4 linked regions of the Drosophila melanogaster genome follow. Each later gene encodes a partner of the first gene's protein in a complex. Each region holds a gene or a part of one and is shown in the gene's direction. Other genes may lie near its edges. The genes, in order: eIF3g2, eIF3d1, eIF3h and eIF3d2.

The links.
Region 2: eIF3g2 (region 1) and eIF3d1 share a complex: the UniProt entries of both Drosophila melanogaster proteins name them as parts of the eukaryotic translation initiation factor 3 (eIF-3) complex.
Region 3: eIF3g2 (region 1) and eIF3h share a complex: the UniProt entries of both Drosophila melanogaster proteins name them as parts of the eukaryotic translation initiation factor 3 (eIF-3) complex.
Region 4: eIF3g2 (region 1) and eIF3d2 share a complex: the UniProt entries of both Drosophila melanogaster proteins name them as parts of the eukaryotic translation initiation factor 3 (eIF-3) complex.

What each region holds. Positions count from the first base shown.
Region 1 is NT_033777.3:20,405,878-20,410,130, forward strand, and holds eIF3g2 (eukaryotic translation initiation factor 3 subunit g2), read left to right. Parts: upstream 1-2,387; 5' UTR 2,388-2,449; coding exon 2,450-3,271; 3' UTR 3,272-3,366; downstream 3,367-4,253. Other genes in the region: Tmlh (trimethyllysine hydroxylase), read right to left, coding at 793-1,697, 1,757-1,946. UniProt on the Drosophila melanogaster protein: RNA-binding component of the eukaryotic translation initiation factor 3 (eIF-3) complex, which is involved in protein synthesis of a specialized repertoire of mRNAs and, together with other initiation factors, stimulates binding of mRNA and methionyl-tRNAi to the 40S ribosome.
Region 2 is NT_033777.3:23,677,893-23,683,256, forward strand, and holds eIF3d1 (eukaryotic translation initiation factor 3 subunit d1), read left to right. Parts: upstream 1-2,146; 5' UTR 2,147-2,298; coding exon 2,299-2,497; intron 2,498-2,619; coding exon 2,620-3,255; intron 3,256-3,324; coding exon 3,325-3,617; intron 3,618-3,693; coding exon 3,694-4,248; 3' UTR 4,249-4,425; downstream 4,426-5,364. Other genes in the region: GILT3 (Gamma-interferon-inducible lysosomal thiol reductase 3), read left to right, coding at 1-272, 346-459; GILT2 (Gamma-interferon-inducible lysosomal thiol reductase 2), read left to right, coding at 1,076-1,135, 1,202-1,366, 1,492-1,785, 1,844-1,948; CG16710 (uncharacterized protein), read left to right, coding at 4,611-4,686, 4,878-5,364. UniProt on the Drosophila melanogaster protein: mRNA cap-binding component of the eukaryotic translation initiation factor 3 (eIF-3) complex, which is involved in protein synthesis of a specialized repertoire of mRNAs and, together with other initiation factors, stimulates binding of mRNA and methionyl-tRNAi to the 40S ribosome.
Region 3 is NT_033779.5:5,050,329-5,055,321, reverse strand, and holds eIF3h (eukaryotic translation initiation factor 3 subunit h), read left to right. Parts: upstream 1-2,238; 5' UTR 2,239-2,586; coding exon 2,587-2,667; intron 2,668-3,007; coding exon 3,008-3,685; intron 3,686-3,751; coding exon 3,752-4,009; 3' UTR 4,010-4,129; downstream 4,130-4,993. Other genes in the region: His3.3A (histone H3.3A), read right to left, coding at 1-63; CG14036 (uncharacterized protein), read left to right, coding at 370-651; senju, read right to left, coding at 944-1,907, 1,966-2,083, 2,154-2,238; CG9121 (uncharacterized protein), read left to right, coding at 4,445-4,664. UniProt on the Drosophila melanogaster protein: Component of the eukaryotic translation initiation factor 3 (eIF-3) complex, which is involved in protein synthesis of a specialized repertoire of mRNAs and, together with other initiation factors, stimulates binding of mRNA and methionyl-tRNAi to the 40S ribosome.
Region 4 is NT_033777.3:12,191,402-12,196,644, reverse strand, and holds eIF3d2 (eukaryotic translation initiation factor 3 subunit d2), read left to right. Parts: upstream 1-1,633; 5' UTR 1,634-1,692; coding exon 1,693-2,685; intron 2,686-2,762; coding exon 2,763-3,425; 3' UTR 3,426-3,942; downstream 3,943-5,243. Other genes in the region: CG43450 (uncharacterized protein), read right to left, coding at 1,158-1,304. UniProt on the Drosophila melanogaster protein: mRNA cap-binding component of the eukaryotic translation initiation factor 3 (eIF-3) complex, which is involved in protein synthesis of a specialized repertoire of mRNAs and, together with other initiation factors, stimulates binding of mRNA and methionyl-tRNAi to the 40S ribosome.

The sequences.
Region 1 (4,253 bases):
TCTCTTTAAGGCACATCCATATTTGGAGGACATTTAAAGGACAGCAGCGCGACAGCCATTAACCTGCACGGCCAACAAAAAGTAATTTCACTTTTAAATGAAAAAGTTCAAAGTGCGTTTGTTTATGCCAAACACACACTCTCGCACACAAATACAGAAAACCCACATGAGACGCTGGCCATAAAAACAAATGCCAAATGATTTTTGTTGCTGGTTTTCTGTATGCGATCCACTCCCCTATGACAAAAATTAGACGCTGGCCAGCAATTGTAATCGTAACTTTTTATTATGATACGTTAGCATTTGCAATCGAAATTGAATTGGAGTGGGACTCGGTTCAGAAAAAAGAAAAATATGCTTGAACAATTTGCGTGTTTTTTTCTATACGCAACGATTCTTTAACAATGTATGCTATTCCTGATATATGAACCGAATTTAAAATATGTTCTTATTTGAGCAATCAAAAGCAAACTTATATATATGCAGAAAGGATGTTGATTTAAGCCAGTATCTTGCATCGAAGTGAAGGAGTCAGCTACGAACATGTAAAGTATATATATTATTGATCAATGTTAAATGTTCTTCTATCCACAAAATAATCTCTCAGTGTTAAAGTTATCCGCATGAAACTTTCCCATTGCAAAAAGTATAAAAGTCGGTACGGACCATATAATACATAAATGATTGCTGAAGGAATATGCGGAGCACTAGAAAGTATAGAAAATAAATCATAATTTCTTAGTTCATAAAAGGTTTTAATTCGGTATACATTAGGTATTTTTCAATAAGCTTTCAGTCAATAATTCCCAGCACTCGAGCCTTGCTGAGAAAATCTGTGCGCTGCACATAGGAACCGGACATGGTACGACTTCCTGTGTATGCCTCTCGACCATGGAGCACTCTCCAGTTATCGAAAAGAACAATGCTGCCGGGACATAGCTTGAGAGCCCACTGCTGTTGCTTATCCCTGACGATTAGCAAAAGCTGGCGAAGACTGTCATAGAACTCGGCCATTTCGGCTTGAGGGATGGTATTAAACACGGCGCGATCATATACATTTAGTCTGAGTTGAACAAATTCCTGAGTCAGTGGATCCACCTGTATAATGGGGGCAGTGTGGTAGTGGTGCTCCCCTTTTTCGATGTACTCTCCAGGAACTTGGACACTGCACAGTACATCATAAGCGGCGGGATACCGGCGTTTCAGTTCGTGAACCACATGCAGACCATCAACAAAGAAATTTTCGCCACCCGATCCCGAGTGCTCAATGCAATGTAGAGCCTGTAGTCCGGCTGCATCGCAGAAATAGGTATTATCCGTATGGGAACCCAGGTAAAGTTTGGTATAAGCGGTGTCCGCGTGATCGGGGTTATCGCTAAAAGTCCACATTTCGCCAAAGAACGTTTTCATAAGGGGGAAAACTCGTCGCAGAGCCAATTCTGTCATATTCGCGGTGGGAGCCACATCATCGATAAAGACAATGCCATAACGCACCAGAGATTCAACCAGGGATCTGACTTCGTTATCACTGGAAACCAGCTGGGGCAATGGGAATCGTAAGTGCCGTTCGTTTTGCAAGATAATGCTACGATTCCATGGTGTCAGATTAGTGGACTTTGATCGCCGACCTATCAACCTCTCCAGCTGTGAGTCGAAGATAAAGTCCAGGTCATAGTTCGACTTGTGAGCATCACTCCCTAAAATGGCAGGCCAATAAAATCGAAGCTAGGTGCATTTTACATCAATTTTTTCTTACACTGCACTTGTAGATTCATCCCGTCGTATTTGACATCTAGTGGCATTATATCAGCTGGTAGATCTAAGACATCGTATCGCCTCTGATTTGTTTCGAAATTTAGACACTCCACACATCGACAATGATCACGGAGCCAAAACTCATTGATTTCTATTGATTGGCTGGTTTTCGGGTGCTTCAAAAGCAACATGTTAATGCCAATAGAACAACCGACGGACTAGAGCAGTGAAAGTGAACTAACAGCTCAAAGTTTGATTAAGTTTCAGCTCGGTTTTAATTGTACTGTTATCAGTAGGAGAGCGATTACTTTCATGCTCAAGTCAGAGATAAGAACTTATTTGTTTACGGAATAACTATAAGATTAATAAATTTATTGAATTTAAAGACAATATGTAATTATTAAGAACAACTCATGAAAGTAAAAAAATTTATAATTTAATCAAGATTGATTGAATGGTATGTTTTTGTTGCAAAGTTATCTTAGTGAATTGCTACTCAAGTTGTTGTATTTTTTATTAAAAAATCATTACTTTAAAGAAAATATAAATATTAATTTCAAATATCTTTTATTGAAAGGGATTTTTTCCCATCTCAACAGGCCAAGTAAAATTCAAATGGAAAAACTCTCTCTAAAACTAGAGATCTCTAAGTTTTTAATTCATTTTGTACCGGTTGTGTGGGAAATCATAAAAAATGAAGACTTTCGTTACTTCCTGGGCCGATGAGGTGGATGCGGACTATGTGGATGGACTGCCGCCTTCTAATGAGTACATTAAGGGCGACTTCAAGTACGTGACGGAGTATAAGTTCAACGATGATGGCAAGAAGGTGAAAGTGGTGCGAACCTTCAAGATCGAGAAGCAGATTGTTCCGAAGGCTGTGGCTCGTCGTCGCAACTGGGTTAAGTTTGGGGATTCGCGATCGGACAAGCCCGGACCCAATTCCCAGACGACAATGGCCTCCGAGGAGATCTTTATGCAATTCATCGGCTCCAAAGATTTCGACCAGACCCACGAAACCCAACTTGATCCCGGCAAGAACATCGCCAAGTGCCGCATTTGCAATGGCGAACACTGGAGTGTCAATTGTCCCTACAAGGGCACCTCGATGGATAGCAAAACCGTGATGGAAACCAAGGCCAATGCCGCTGCAGCTGCCGCTATAAGTGATCCCAGCAAGACCGGAAAATATGTACCACCCTTCATGAAGGACGGCGGAGGCATATCTGGCAGCAAAAATTGGGGACGGGGTCGGGATCGGGACGATTCGTCGGCAGTTCGCATCTCAAACCTATCCGAATCCATGACCGAGACTGATCTCGAGGAGCTGGTAAAGAAAATCGGACCACACACCAAGATGTATTTGGCGCGCGAAAAAAACAGCGGCCTCTGCAAGGGATTCGCCTACGTGCACTTCAAGTTCCGCCAGGATGCAGCTGCCGCCATTGAGGTTCTTAATGGCCACGGCTACGACCACTTGATCCTCTGCGTCGAGTGGTCCAAGCCTCAGCCGTAATGGCTATAGCCTTGTGTATTCGCTTCTCTGCTTATTCGAGAACGGAAATGAGCTGCGGTGGCAGTGAAATCAAAATAAAATTCTGGTACACCCTGCAAAATATGCGACCACTTTTATTTTTAATTTGCACACATTCGATAATTACAGAGAATATATTAATAATAATATAAAATCTATTTATTAATGTTTCGTAGTAGATTTTTTCATCTTTCAGTTGAGCAAAGGATATGAATTGAGATAGATATGAAAATTGTTAAAAACAGTCTGGTTCATTTGGGACCACTCAATTTTCGAGTTGATATACCCTTGGACATCCAAGGTGGATGCTTTTTTTAAGTGCATAAAAGAGAAAGCTCGCCTTGAGCGAACTAAAGCCGATAATGCTCCGTTTTAAATGCGATTTTTTCGCCGTGCTCCGCAGCCGTACAAAGGTGAAAGCCACTTAAATGGAAGCCAACGTGGTGCCGGATGATGATGGCACGGCGTTCCCGGCAAGAGCTGAGAAATGCCACAAGACGCTGGCCGGACCGAATGAACATTAATAATTAAATATAAGAGCGGACTTATGCGCACGATACTTGGAGCGGAGCCCCTCAGAACGGGACGCCAACTACGCGACCATGACGTTGAACCGGGAATGAGTGGTCGGTGGATAGTGTTCGCGGGAAAGTCCCGGCTTAGATACACATTTTGAATGAGGGGCGGATCAAAGCCAGGCACAAAAGAAATTTATTTCCATTGTTGTTGCTGTTGCGGTGGTATGGGATGGGTAGCAGCTAAAGCAGAGTCTAAAACAAATTACTGAATAATTTATAAATTAACTTTTTCTGCGGCGCGCTCATTCGTTCGTCCCCGGCCTTTGTTTGAGCGGCAGAATGAATAGGTGGAAGGCGAATGAATGGGTGGCCAGGTGGGCGGCTTGACAGGTTAGTTAGCATTGTGGGGGGGGGGGGGGGTAGTTGGGGGTATGAGGCGCCCTGGT
Region 2 (5,364 bases), 3.3 Mb from region 1:
TTTGTCAGCATGGCGTGGATGAGTGCGAACTAAATGCACTCCATGCCTGCATTATTGAGACCCTGGACATTCGGAAGGCCTTCAATCTGATCTACTGCATGCTGCGCTCCTATTCGAATGAGCTGGGCCCGTGCTCGAGGAGCATGGGTGTGGACGTCAGCAAGGCCAGGGAGTGTAAGGCATCCCGAACCACGGCAGAAATACTGGCGCCCTACGGCAAGGAAACCCTTAAACTGGGCATCTCCTTTGTGCCCACCATTGTGTTCGAGAATGTGAGTAACCAACCCAACCAGGCTTACATGATCAAATACCAGACTTAACTTAACATTACCCTCTGATCCGCAGGACTTTGATCCTTACGACCAGAGAAGCATTCGCAACAACTTCGAAAGACACTTCTGTCGGCAGTATCTGAAAAAGTTCAACATCAAACTGCCCACTTGTTCCGCAATTTTGTAAACTTTTATGTAATGTACTGAGTAATTTAACTGTTTCAATGTTCCAAGACCAATAAACAATAATTATAACCAACTGGAGTGTTTGCTTACTCGCTGACTCACTTGGGGCCAATAAAAATTTACATGTGTATAGTATATACATATCAGCTTATCAGTCATGTTTTTGTATACAGATTCTAATCAGAAACAGCTGTCTGGTGGTCTAAAAATAAGATTAAAACCCCGCTGCTCAGTAAGTTTTCCGTAGTCAGCGCATAAATGTAAAGGGGAAAATGCTGGTTGACAGCAGGGGCGTCGAATTGGTTGGCTAGTCACACCCTTTATCTATATATTTATATTAATTTTTTCAAAAGCGGATATATTACAGAAAAATTATAAAAAACAAGCGAAAAGTCACCCTACTATTGCAATACAAATAATTATTTTTTTTTTAACTTATATGATTTTTGAGCCCCCCTTGAGCATTTTCTAACCACGCCACTGGCCGCTTCGAATTTGACGAAACGCAGTGACAACGCTGCGCATTACAAGTCCCGGAATTATTTCAGTGTCGAGCGTTCGCTGGCGTTGAGCGGCCGAATATTTCAAGATCAGCTCGGGATTAAACTGAATTTGCCATGAGGGCGGCTGTCTTTGTGTGTCTGCTGCTGGGATGGGTGGGCGTGGCCACGCCAAGGGTAAGTGACCCAGTTGATCGGACTGAATCCCGAATTGCGACGCTCCCATTGATCGTGACTTTGCAGCGTTTGCGCGGACCGCAAGCTGACCGACTGGCGATCACCCTGTACTACGAAGCATTGTGTCCCTACTGCATGGAGTTCGTGACCACGCAGCTCAATCCCTCGATGGTCCGTCAGGATCGACTTCCATTCACTGATCTTACGCTGGTTCCTTATGGAAATGCCAGGGTAGGTTTCATTTTTCGTAGCTTAAACTAGTAGTTATAGTACAAGTACATAGTATAGCTCAATTTGAAGTTTTAGAGTGTCAATCAGCGTTAATCCGCACTTAAACTTCGCTTAATCCCCTCCAGACGAACGATGACGGAAATGTGGAGTGCCAGCACGGAGTGATGGAGTGCGAATTGAACGCGTGGCACGCCTGCATACTGGAGCACCATGACATTGCCCAATCCCTCAAGCTGATCGCCTGCATGATGAGGGGTAAGAAGAACAGGCTGGAAAAGTGCGCTGACCACTATCAAATCGACGTGGGCGATGTCAAAAATTGCAAGAAAACGCGACAGGTGAACGACATTCTGAGGAAGTACGGCAAGGAAACGGCCAAGGTCTCATTTCAGGGAGTGCCAGCCGTAGCTCTGGATAACGTGAGTTTAAATGCGAAAGAAATTCATGAAATCTAAAATAAAACTTTGTGATTTTAAGGTTTATAACGCGGATCTATCAGCAAACTTAACTGATCATTTTGATGCCATTTTTTGCGCCAAGTATAAGGAAAAGTTCAATAAGCAGCTAAATAATTGTCAATAAATATTGTGTTCATTTAACAATACATTTTTTTATTAAAAAATATTTTTTGCATTTTCTTTGTAATTAAATCGTAAAATCAGGTTCTGAAAAATGAATAGTTCGAATTTTTAGTTTTCCCGCCCAGCAGTGGCGCCATCTATGACAGCATGCTGCCAGACCTTTGAACATTCGCTACGATTTTAGTATTTTTCTTTGGCGGTGGTATATTTCAACGCGACAACGGTCCCACTCAACTATTTTCGCAACACGCGACGATACGAATTTTCCACATTTCTTTGTTGATTTCTGGAAAATCGCTGTATATAGACCGAATAGCCGACTGCAGACTGAGCACCAGGTAAACGCGCGAGATGAGCGAGACCATAAACACCGCGGCTCAGTTCCCGAGCTTCGAGAAGCCGACCGTGCAGTTCAATGAAAAGGGCTGGGGTCCCTGCGAGCTGCCCGATACGTTCAAGGATGTGCCGTACCAGCCGTTCAGCAAGAACGATCGTCTGGGCAAGATCTGCGACTGGACGAATACGTCGAACAACGACAAGAAGTACCAGAGTGAGTTTATTCCCCACCCGAAACCGACCCACAAAATACTAATCGCCGAAAGTGAGGTTAGGTAGGTGTGTCGTGGCATGATATTGTTGCTAACATATTGGTGGTTGGTATTCCATTCGCAGACAAGTATGCCTCCAGCTTTGGCACGGGCATTCAGTACTCGTACTACCATGAGGAGGACGAGACAACCTTCCACCTGGTGGACACGGCCCGCGTCCAGAAGCCGCCGCACCAGCGCGGCCGGTTCCGCAACATGAGGAATTCGCGTTCCGGTCGTGGCAGGAATGCCCGCGGTGGCCTTAATACTCACGGCATGACGACGCTCAGCGGCAAGAATGTAAAGGCCCGCGATCCGCGCCATGGTCGCGGCATGGGCAAGAAGTTCGGTCATCGCGGACCACCACCAAAGATGCGCGAATCTTCGGTGGCCGTCCGCGCCGATTGGGCATCCATCGAGGAGATGGACTTCCCGCGACTCATCAAGCTGTCGCTGCCCAACATCAAGGAGGGCGTCGATATTGTCACCTGCGGCACGTTGGAGTACTACGACAAGACCTACGACCGCATCAATGTGAAGAACGAGAAGCCGCTGCAGAAGATCGATCGCATCGTGCATACGGTGACCACCACAGACGATCCCGTCATCCGGCGTTTGTCTAAGACCGTCGGCAATGTCTTCGCCACGGACGCCATCCTGGCCACCATCATGTGCTCTACGCGATCGAACTATTCCTGGGATATTGTCATCGAGAAAGTTGGTATGTTAAATGAAATACGAAATATAATAATAATAAGAGAAATAAATAATAATTGTAACCTTATTTTAGGCGACAAGGTGTTCATGGACAAGCGTGACCACACCGAGTTCGATCTGTTGACCGTGAACGAGAGCAGCGTGGAACCACCGACCGACGACGACAGCTCATGCAACTCCCCTCGCAACCTGGCCATCGAGGCGACTTTCATTAACCACAACTTTAGCCAGCAGGTGCTTAAGACTGGAGACCAGGAACCCAAATACAAGTTCGAGGAAAGCAACCCTTTCATCAGCGAGGACGAAGATATCCAAGTCGCCAGCGTGGGCTACCGCTACAAGAAGTGGGAGCTGGGAAGCGATATTGTAAGTGTTGCATAATCCAACTTTAAAGTTGGAATATTTTTCTATATTATGTTAAACTATTGTCTTATACTTTTAGGTCCTGGTAGCGCGTTGCGAGCACGATGGTGTCCTGCAGACGCCAAGCGGCGAGCCGCAGTTCATGACTATCAAGGCACTCAACGAGTGGGACTCGAAGTTGGCCAATGGCGTGGAATGGCGTCAAAAGTTGGACACGCAGCGCGGTGCTGTGCTCGCCAACGAGCTGAGGAACAACGCATGCAAGCTGGCCAAGTGGACTGTGCAGGCCGTCCTGGCCGGGTCCGATCAGCTAAAGCTCGGCTATGTGTCGCGTATCAATCCGAGAGATCACTCGCGTCACGTCATCCTCGGCACGCAGCAGTTCAAGCCGCATGAATTTGCCACTCAGATCAACCTGAGCATGGACAACGCCTGGGGAATCCTGAGATGCATCATCGATCTGGTGATGAAGCAGAAGGATGGCAAATACCTGATCATGAAGGACCCCAACAAGCCGATCATCCGTCTGTACGACATCCCAGACAATACTTTCGACTCCGATGACTCGGACGATGGCGAGGGCGATGACGAAGGTTTCCAGCAGGTCTACAACTACGCGCACAACAAGATTTAGACGCCACGCCCCCCTACTCCTGCATCCCTTCCAGTCTTGGGCTCTTTTGCCACAACCCGCTAAGAATAACCACAACTGATGTCCTCTAAAGGAAAAGGTCATGTTATAGGCCCTAGCTTAAGCATTTGTATTCGATTTAAATTCAGATATTTCCTAGTAAATCACAGAGGGCGAAACAATACATGAATTTTTATTGGTCCAGGTCTAATGCCGGGTACTTGTGATAAAAACTTTCGACTGAAACACCGAGGTCTTGTACGTAAATGACTGACTCATTTCCCGGACTCATATATAGTAAGCTGATTGTGCGTGTCGGGCATCTAGTTAAGATTTAGACATTGTTTAAACTCTGACGGTTAAAGATGGTCTTCCTACAAAGAGTGTACATATCCTTCCTGGTCCTGCATACTCAATTGCTGATGTACCTGGCTGAGTCTGGTAATATATGTTGCAAGTACTCCACATTGTATACGTTATAACATTCAAGAAAATGATTCATTTGGATATGGGTATTTCCTTGAATTTTAAAATATAAATAGCTTTGTTTCGTCCAATCATTATCTAAACATCCAATTAAAATGACTCACATAATATAATATTTATTAATATCCAATTCTTTACTGTATCAGAATATCCGCCTTGTAATCTGGATGAGAAATGCATTAGTCTAGCCCGCTGCACATCACTCTTGCCCTTTCTGAAGCCCCACAACATGACGCCAGCCGAGAAGGCGGTATTCGAGGACAGATATTGCGGCTATGGCCCCAAGGGGCAGGAATTATTGGACAGAGTTCTCATCTGCTGCCCAAATATGGGACACATTTTGCCAAATACCCAGATATGTGGACCAATCATGCCGGCTTATCGAATTTTCGGAGGAGAGGAGACGCAACCCAACGAGTTGCCTTGGATGGCCCTGATTCTATATGCGCATCGCAGCCGTTCGGTGTGGAATGAAAGACTCGTGTCCAGGTGCGCTGGATCCCTGATCACAAACCGCTATGTGCTGACCGCAGCCCATTGTCTGAGGATAACGGGATTGGATCTCAGGAGGGTGCGCCTTGGCGAGCATAACATTTTAAGCAATCCCGACTGCGTCACCCATATTAATGGTAG
Region 3 (4,993 bases), on another chromosome or scaffold:
CAGCTGCTTGCGGGGCGCCTTGCCTCCGGTCGATTTACGGGCTGTTTGCTTGGTACGTGCCATCGTTTACCTGGTAATTAAGTGGTTTTGAGCAGATTTGACAATTGACCGAACTCTATGAAATTTTCAAGCTGAATGAAAAGTAAAAGGGAGGGACGGGGTGGTTTACGCGCGTCTGCTCAGTGTGACCCTATATTCATCGGGGGTATTCCGTATAAGGTCAATATCTTGACAGCTGGTTTGAAAAATAAATAAATCGAAAATTCCTTACTTCCGATAACACAACCGATAACTAAAACTTTAAAACATAGCGGTACCTTAAGCTTTATGAATTTGTTGTTTTGACAAACGGCTCTTGACTTTTTCAAAATGTCCGATTTCGAGTACGGAATTTGCCCTTACGACAAATCGCACCGCATCTTGCTCTTCCGGATGCCCAAGCACTTAATTAAGTGCGAGAAGAACTACTGTGGACCGCCGCTGCAGACCTGCAAGTACAACGCCACACACCGAGTCCAGGACATGGAGAAGCATCTGAAGGAGTGTGACTACTATCTCCGCAGCATCGAAAACCAGGCGGTGCAGATAGCGCTTCGTAGTCGCATACCGCCCAAACAGGAAGATGGACATGATGTGGACACACCATTTTAGGCTAAGACAAGCAGGCATCCAAATATACCATGTACATATGTGATAGTATATGAACCATAAAATAAAAAGCTTCTTGAAGAAGCATGCACAATATTCGTTTGATTGCATTTATGTTCTGATTAAAATAAGAATCTTAAACTAGAGGAGCAAAAGTTTTGGTATTTACAAGCCTGTTGCTATTGCATTGCACAAAGCCTGGGGTCAAATACATTCGTCTGGCGTTTAAAACATTTGCAGGCACTTTTCCACAACTATTTACAGTCTAAGATTACGTCTAGGACAAGCTACAGCATTACACCATATCGAGGTCCGATTCTGCCGCTTCCTCGTCGATCAGCTTTCGTTTATCCGTTGATTTGGTCGTGGCATCACTTAAATTGGACAGCGGACGCACCTTGCCCAAATTAACCACCGGGCTTTGGGTGTAGAGATAGATGGCGTAGGATACAACCGCGATGGCCAGCGCGGTGTTCATGTAAATGGGTATGGAGAAGAGGAAGTAGCATAGGACTGCCGTGAAGAGCAACTCCAGAGCGCTCGCGAAGGTCTTTAGAATGGAGTTCATGTACTTGAGGAAGAAACTCGTGACAATGCCAATAGCCGCATTGTTAACAATAATGATTAGCACGCTAAAGCGCATAATACTGCCCAGATTCTGCGGACTAAAGGCATCAAGGAGCTCGCCGCGCAGCAAGAGGATGACTGCATTGCAGACAATCGAGTCCAGGTACATGAAGACATTCTGTACAAAGATATTCACATCGGCTCCCTTATCTTTAAGCAGATACTCATTGTAAACGCCCGCCAGACAAGAGCAAATTGTCTGTGCCAGAATGAAGACGGCACTCAGGCTAAAATCGAAGCCGGACATGTTCTTGCCGTGAGCGTGCGTCTCTGCAGAAGTTGTTTTATTATGTGATTGCAGCTGCTGCTGTATGGCTGCGGACTCGCTGTCATCATTCGCATCGCTGTAGAAGCTGCCGAAATCGACCTGCTTCATCATACAGCCGAGTGTCAGCAGTATGAGGGAGATCCATTGCCTTTGCGACAGGTACTTCTTGAAGATAATTTGGAATAGTATGCCCGTGACAACGACACGTAGCTGCAGTAGCAGATAGTAGGTGGTGGGATCGAATGTGGCCAAGTTGACAAAGGCCAAATTGTTGTACAGGCAGTAGAGAAAGGCGGGCACCATGTACAAGCCCAATACATTCCGATCCTTCTGAACATCGCGCACCAGGGAGCGTAGGTTGTTGCTGTGAATGAAATCGCGGTTTAATAGCGAGACAAAGGAGCGCCTCCACTCCTACTCACTCTCGGCAATACAGACAGGTGGAGACTATCAATTTAAAGACCTCGGTTAGCAGCACAACCGTGACGGTATTGTAGCCATAGGAGTTATTCGATTCCTGAGATGCTGTGACAAAGATGCCTGCAAAATAGACAGGAATTAGGGTGCGGCTTTGGCTTGCGTAAAAAGCCTTAATAAGGCAGCTGCATACCCTGTCCTATGAATAGGGACATGTACAACAGGAAGATCACAAATGTGAGCTTGGTGGGGAACAATTCACGCCAATTAGTTGACATTTCTGCGGTCTTCGTACTGCCAGCGTTGCGTTGCTAATGCGAAGAGAACTAAGACTAGCTACAAGTTGCGGCAACCGCAGTTATCAGTACCGTTCCGCTCGTTCGTGACAAGTGGGCCGTTTCTCGGTTTTCTAGGAAGTACAATTTTGAGTTTGTTTCTGTTGCTTTTCCACTGATAAACAAAATATATTTTGGGCCTTTTTTTATCGCTCGCCCGAACAGCTGATTTTAAAGCAGTGCACGCTTTTCAACACTTCAACCCACACAAAAATTGTGGTGTTGCGAAACGCCCTTTTACCACTGCAGCCGAGTTCACGTCGTGGGTCTTTTCGCTTACAATTCGTCAACATGGCAAATCGCGCAAATCGTCATGCTGCTCGCACCGAGGATTCGGATAATACCATTAACTACGTCCAATGCGACGGACTGGTGAGTAGTGCTGTTGGCCAAAAGACCTGGCCGAGATTGGCCCGTGGGAACCGGCGCGAAAGCCGGAAAAGTTAATGCCACGCGCTGTCTCAGAAATTTGCGTGCTTTGTGTGTGTTTGTATGGGTGTTCGTGAGGACATGGGCGTAGAGCTATAAGGAAAAGGGGGCCGGTCTCTTCATTACCATAGCACAAAAAACTTCAGTCAAATGTTTTCTTCAGAGAAACTATTAAAAGAAAGTCCGAAATATATCTACTTTCCACGCCCCTGTTCAAATGCAAATAGTTGTCTGTCGCTAATTGATTTTGGAACATAATTACTACGATCACTTTACCTTGCAGGCCGTCATGAAGATGGTGAAGCACTGCCATGAGGAGTCGAGCAACATGGACCTCGCCCAGGGCGCCCTGCTCGGTCTGGTGGTAGACAAGTGCCTGGAGATCACCAACTGCTTCCCGTTTCCCAAGAGCGGCGATGAGACCATGGACGAGGAGATGTACCAGCTGACCGTGATGCGTCGCCTGCGTCGCGTCAACGTAGATCATCTCCATGTGGGCTGGTACCAGAGCTCCGACGTGGGCAACAGCCTGTCAATGGCTCTGTTGGAATCGCAGTACCACTACCAGACCAGCATTGAAGAGTCCGTCGTTGTCGTCTACGATACGCAGAAGTCATCCCGCGGATTCCTGTGCTTGAAGGCCTACCGCCTTACTCCGCAGGCCATTCAGATGTACAAGGATGGCGACTTCACTCCAGAGGCATTCCGCACCCTGAAGGTCGGCTACGAGAACCTCTTCGCCGAGATTCCCATTGTGATCAAGAACTCGCCGCTGACCAACATTATGATGAGCGAGCTGAACGAGCTGCTGCCCGAGGACAAGGGGCACAACTTCCTGGACCTGGGCACCGCCACCGTATTGGAGAACCAAATGCGTAGCCTGATCGAGCGCGTCGACGAGTTGTACCAGGAGGCAGTGCGCTATAACAAGTACCAGCAGGTGGTCTTCAAGCAGGATACGGTACGTAGCAATATAATTAAATATGTAAAAATTCCTAATCGCTTTCCTTGCATTTATATTTTTTAGGAGAAGCACCGTGCTCTGGCTAAGCTGGCCGCCGAGAACGCCGTTCGCACATCGAAGGGAGAGCCCACGGTGCCAGAGGAGGAAGTGATCAAACAGTTCCGCCCCATGACTGCGCCCAACCGCCTGACGGCCACCATAACCTCTGGCCAGATCAATACCCACGCCCAGCATATCGCACAATTCTGTTCGCAATCGCTGGCCAAACTCTTCATCACGGAATCGCTGCAAATTGCCAAGGAAGCAAAGGAAACCAAATAGATTAGCTAATGTTAAGCGTTTTTTAAGCTGAGGCAACAACATTCACTACCCACAAACATAGCAACTGCACACACAGACGTCGAAAATAAACCAAACAAGCGATGAGTGGGCTTGGAAGCGAACTGCCAGCTGATTTCTTCTTTATTGTACTCTCCATTTGCTCAATAGAATGGCCAATTCAAACCGCCCCAAAAAAAGAAAACCACCACCCGCTATGCAGCCAAAAATTGGTACTGCTTCTGCGCACGCCGGATGTTTGGTTTCACTTCTCGATGAGACTTTCCGGGGGAGTGTTGCTGCCACTGACGACATCGACGCACTTTTCACACCACCCCACAAGCAGCTGCTTATCATTTGGTTTGTTCTTTTCGCTTCGCCTTTTCGCTAACCAGCTTCAGTTAGCCTAACTAACTAAATTACTAACCCGATGGCAAAATGCTGTCCTACGACCTCAACGAACGCCTGCTAACCGCCGTACAGAGCGGAGATTTCGAGCAGGCTCTGGGCTGCATCATGCAAGGTGCCCAGGCCTCGTATGTATCGCCCACTTGCGGACGCACTGCCGTGGGCACGGCGGCCATTCTGGGCGATGCCGAACTGTTGGAGCTGCTGCTTCAATCCTGCGAGGAGCCCGAGCTGAATGTCTTTCATCAGTGTGAGTTTTCCTTCCACTGGTTCGTTCTGAAAACAAACGAAACTAACTTTCGGAAAATTTAATTGCATTAAAAACAAACACATAGAGAACATTAGAAAAAAAAATGCTGTGGGTAAGCTAGATAATGTGTATGTATATTGTTCAAAGGTAAAACATAAACATAAATAATAATAATAATAATCAATGGATCCAGGAAACGAATTAGTTAGATACAAGAAAATTTTAAATGAAGTGCCAGTTCGTTTGTTCACTTTTGGAGTATATATAATACTATACAGAATTTATTATAATTTTAATACTCCCACTAAGTTGAATGATCCAATTTTAGT
Region 4 (5,243 bases), 8.2 Mb from region 1:
CAGGAGCGATTGCAGATGAGCTGGAGATGAGAGGGTAAATCCGGAGGTTGGAAAGCGGAAGGCGGATGGGGATGGAGAAACCGCAGCGGTGACGTGGCAATGCAGCTGCATAATGTGGCATGCGGTTTGCATTAAAAATGATATTGCAACACGAGCCGCACATCTGCAGCTGTGTGCAGTTAGGCGCCGCCTGCAGTCACTGACAGCCGCATGGCAATTATAATCCACACACACATACACTCACTCAGACGCACACTCATCCACGGCTTATGGCTACACTGAAATCAATTCAATGGTAAAATAGGAATTATTTCAGTCAAAATAAGTTCCCATTGTTATTGCTCCACAGAACCCATTATTATATTCTTGGTATGCATTCTTGGTCTTCTATTCTTACATTTGACATTATCTCTTCATATTCTCGCAGTGTATCAACAGAGAAGTGCGAGGGAATCTGGAGCCGGGCCATGTAAGCAGCAGCTGCCAGTGACATACACATCAACATGACACCCTGTCGCTTGACAAAGCTTAGCTCAGGATCTGGGTGCTGGAAGAGGGGCGGAGGCACCGCACTCCCACTGTCATCCCGCTCGCACCCATATCATTTTCCACACATTCAGGCACATTCACACGCTCGACATGTTGCTTTTTGGGTATGAGCCGGAGTGCAGGATGTCCGCTTCCTTTTTCGCCGCCTCACACGTTGTTATCTAACAAGCTTTTTATGTGATTACCTTTTGCCTTCTGTTAGTTTTACTATAATTTGGCCTTTACGCTTAACGAGATTGTTGTAAGGTGCTCCCAGCCAAGAATAAGGAAACCGAACCGGAACACAGTGAGGACTGAGCCAAGTTGACCAGATCCAGCACACAGGACACTCGTCCCATTGTAGTGCACTCCGCTGTTGTTCCTTTGCTTTCCTGATACTTGGGTCAGAACAATGGTGCTGGAGTTGGAGTCATATGAATGGAGTCATGTCGATGTGAGCTTAGATGCGTCGTCAAGTGATAATCCCGTCACAGTACCCCGCTTCCTGTACCATTTCCACAGCTCAACAAACATTTATTTGTGCGCTTAGTGAGGGTTTTTTATAAAAGATAATAAGAAACAAGAATTTGTCGGCTGGAAGGGGATCCCCGCGCCCATCCTGGATCAGCTCACCATGCGGAGGATGAGAATAATCGTGGCCAATGAGAGCAGCACGACGTTGACGGAGAACCGAAAGACGAACAGGCAATTACACATTTCTTCATTGTGGTTGCGGTGGTGTTTAATTGGGGGCAGGGCGTCCTCCTAAGATTCATTCTCCAAACGTCTTACTTCTCACTTTGTGTAGTTTATAGGGTTTCGGTGTGACTAGAAATACAAATAAGACTGAGCTTTTATTGTGAGGAATTGGTATCTTTTGATTTCTCACAATAGGCTTCAATCTACTTACTATAGGCTTTTGAAGAAATCTTTTTAGTTGTCTATCAAAAATTATTTAAAGATTGGATATTCGGTTATTTCCTTAATGGATAAAACCGCCTTTTTCATATTATAACATTATCCAAACGTAGGGCTTGGAAAATTTTCCCAAGCTGTCAAGCCGGCCATACGAAATCAGCTCAGTGTAATTTGTACCTCGACAAAACCGGATCACATAAATGTAAATACTTGCTCTTGGTTATTTAAACATCTTTCGGCGTGATTATGTCCAACTACGCACCCTTTATCAAGCCCTATGTGGAGTACAACGAGCACGGCTGGGGTCCTTGCGAGGTACCCGAATTGGATGTGCCCTACCAGCCGTTCTGCAAAAGTGATCGCCTGGGCAAGATCTGCGACTGGACTGCGATGGTGCCCGAGAAGAAGTTCCCCAGTAAATACGCCTCGACCTTTGGCAACAACAGTCAGTACGCATACTTCTACGAGGACGATGACTCCACCTTCCATTTGGTGGACACCACTGGATCGAAGGCCACCAAGCCCTATCAGCGGGGACGCTATAGACCCAATATGCGCAACAATGTGAGGAGCAGGGGTCGCACGGGGCGTGGCACTCCGAATATAGCAAGTCTCGGGGGATCCACGGCTGGAGGCGCAACTGCCAGTACCACCAAGTACGGAAAGGGTCGCAATACACGCAACACGCAGAATATGGGTCGCAGATTCGGTCGCAATGCTCCCACCAGAATCCGCGAGAGCTCAGTGATGGTGCAATCGGATTGGGTTTCGATCGAGGAGATTGATTTTCCACGCCTTCTCAAGCTGGCACTTCCCAATATTAAAGATGGTAAGGACATTGCCACCTGCGGATGGCTGGAATTTTATGATAAGTTATACGATCGAGTCAACTTACGCAATGAAAAACCATTGCAAAAGATGGATCGTGTTGTGCACACCGTGACGACCACGGATGATCCGGTTATTCGTCGTCTTTCGAGGACCATGGGCAATGTCTTTGCCACCGACGAAATCTTGTCCACCATAATGTGCTGCACACGCTCCAATTACTCTTGGGATGTGGTAGTCGAGAAATTGGGCACTAAGGTGTTCTTAGATAAGAGATATAATGATCAATTTGATTTGCTGACTGTCAACGAGACTTCAGTAGAACCTCCGATGGATGAGGAGGGTTCCATCAATTCGGCACATAGCTTGGCAATGGAGGCCACTCTAATTAATCACAACTTTAGCCAGCAGGTAGGTTTACAGTAGGTTTCAATTTATGTTATTTGTTATTGTACGTTTTTAAATCTTATGTTATTTATTTTTAAAAGGTTCTTCGCATTGGCGACCAAGAGCCACGTTTCATGTTTGAGGAGCCCAATCCGTTCGAGGAGCCAGGCGTGGATCTTGCCTCCATTGGCTATCGCTACCGTCAGTGGGATCTGGGCAACGATGTGGTGCTGATTGCTCGCTGCAAGCACAATGGGGTTATCCAAGGACCCAATGGGGACGTGCAGTTCCTCTCGATCAAGGCGCTGAATGAATGGGACTCCAAGGTGACCAACAGTGTGGAGTGGCGCCAGAAGTTGGACACCCAGCGCGGTGCAGTCTTGGCCTCCGAGTTGCGCAACAATGCTTGTAAGCTAGCTCGATGGACCGTTGAGGCTGTGCTGGCTGGTTCCGATCAACTGAAGTTAGGCTATGTGTCCAGGATGAATCCGCGTGATCACCTGCGTCACGTGATCCTTGGCACACAGCAATTCAAGCCGCAGGAGTTCGCCACCCAAATCAACCTGAACATGGACAATGCCTGGGGAGTATTGCGTTGCCTAATTGACCTTGTGATGAGGCAACCGGATGGAAAGTATCTGATCATGAAGGATCCCAACAAGCCGATGATCCGTCTGTATGACGTTCCGGAAAACGCCTTCGACTCCGACGGCGATGAGGAGGAGGAGTCCAGCGATCCCTTGAGTAACTCCAACGATAACTAACGCCCTCACGAATTTATTCAACTAATAGTTCTCCGAACAAGGGGATCCGTCGACGGACGAGACAAGCCGACACATGCTGACAGATGCGCAGTGAACACAAATGCAATTTAAATTGAGTTTTTGACCAAACACAACATATGAACGGAGCCATCACTTGACATGTCAGTGAACAACGGACCGGGTGACCGGGTGCAGTCACAGTTATTTTGAGGATAACATGGCCACATCAATCACTGCGGTTCCAAGAAATACAAAATGAAACCCGGCTAAATAAATATGCATTGTGCAGAACATCCCCCGCCATTACCGACTGACAATCACAATAATTGCGGGGGAGTGGAACTGGGGCTGAAATGGGTGAAGGGCTGTTTGGGTGACAAACCTCAGGATCAATAAATCACCGAACACGGCATCAATCAATGCAAATTCTGATGCTGCTGTGGTGCTTGGCGTGCGACAATTTAAGCAAAATGTTTTCGTATTCAACAGCATTTAATTAAATTCATATATGTGCTCGAATTTCATATGCATCCTGCCTTTTTTGTTATTTGGCAATTCAATTTGGGCAGTCAGTGAGCACAAAAGTGCAGAAATTATTCCCCAACGGAAATGCAAATCGCTCAACTAAATTACCAAAATGTTTTGCGCATTTTTGTTTTTGTTTCTCCGTCCGCCAATTTCTTTTTGTTCAGCGCCAAATTGAATTTAGACCTATTCAATTTGCATGGATAGGCTTGCACTCCCTTTCTTCCCCAGACAGGATGAGCAAATGATGATGCCTGGGTGTGAAATAAGTGTGTGAAAATATTTAGGGAATTTACGCAAATGAAAATTGAAACCGATTAATTTTAATTCCCTGCCTGCGGCAAATTTGATTGATAAAGTCGGTCCATTATGTGGCAGTGCACAGATTCACAATGCAGCACATACATATGTATATGTGTGCACATCAAGTATACGCACAGTTGGCCGGAAAGGCACTTGATCTTGCCAGTAAGCAGCAGTGAAACACCAAAGTGTTATTCAATTAAAACATTTTGTTTGCTAAATCAACATGTGTGCCTGTGTGTGTGCCTGCAGGACCAACTTACGAAATGACTATTGCGGACTGGTTTTTTAAAGCGTTTGCCGCAGAAAAGTTGGCTCCGGCTGGTTAGCTGCTCGAGTGGCTTCAGCTACCATGTACCACCAACTACGGAGTACAGACTACCGACTACCAGCTGGCAACTACCGGCTTTAGCTACCAGCTTTAGCCTTAGCTGTAGCTGCAGTTGTAGCTTCGGCTTCTGGCCAGGACTGGCGTGGCATTTCAAGGTCTGCGCTTGGCTAACCACGCCGTTGAAAGGCGTTTAACAAACTGGCAGGCCGGGTTGGCCAGGGCACTTGCCAGCGGCAACAACTCCTAGCCCAACTCAAGTGGGGCCTTAACGCAAAACTTTGTACATTTTATCGCATATGCAGGGCTGCGGGCCATTCCGGGGTAACGGAGAACACAGACCGGAGAGCCCAGAACACAGGGTGTGGGTTAGTGGGCTGAGGTATGGGTTTAGATGGCCAAGGCATTTGCATATGCAACCACAAACACCGCCCGAGTGAAAAGTTAAGCGTTGAATGAGGGCGACAAATTGCAAATTAAACTCTTTTGCATTTTCCCAGCATCACATCACATGAGGAATAGTTGTAAATAAAACTGCCACACCCGCGTCAACTTTTTCAGCTCCTGCGACCTCCAACTAAATTCAATTTCATTTCAATTTGCCTCACTCGCTTTTTTCGCTGAAATGGGGTTATGGTAGCTGGAGCCTCGGAAGCCGTCTG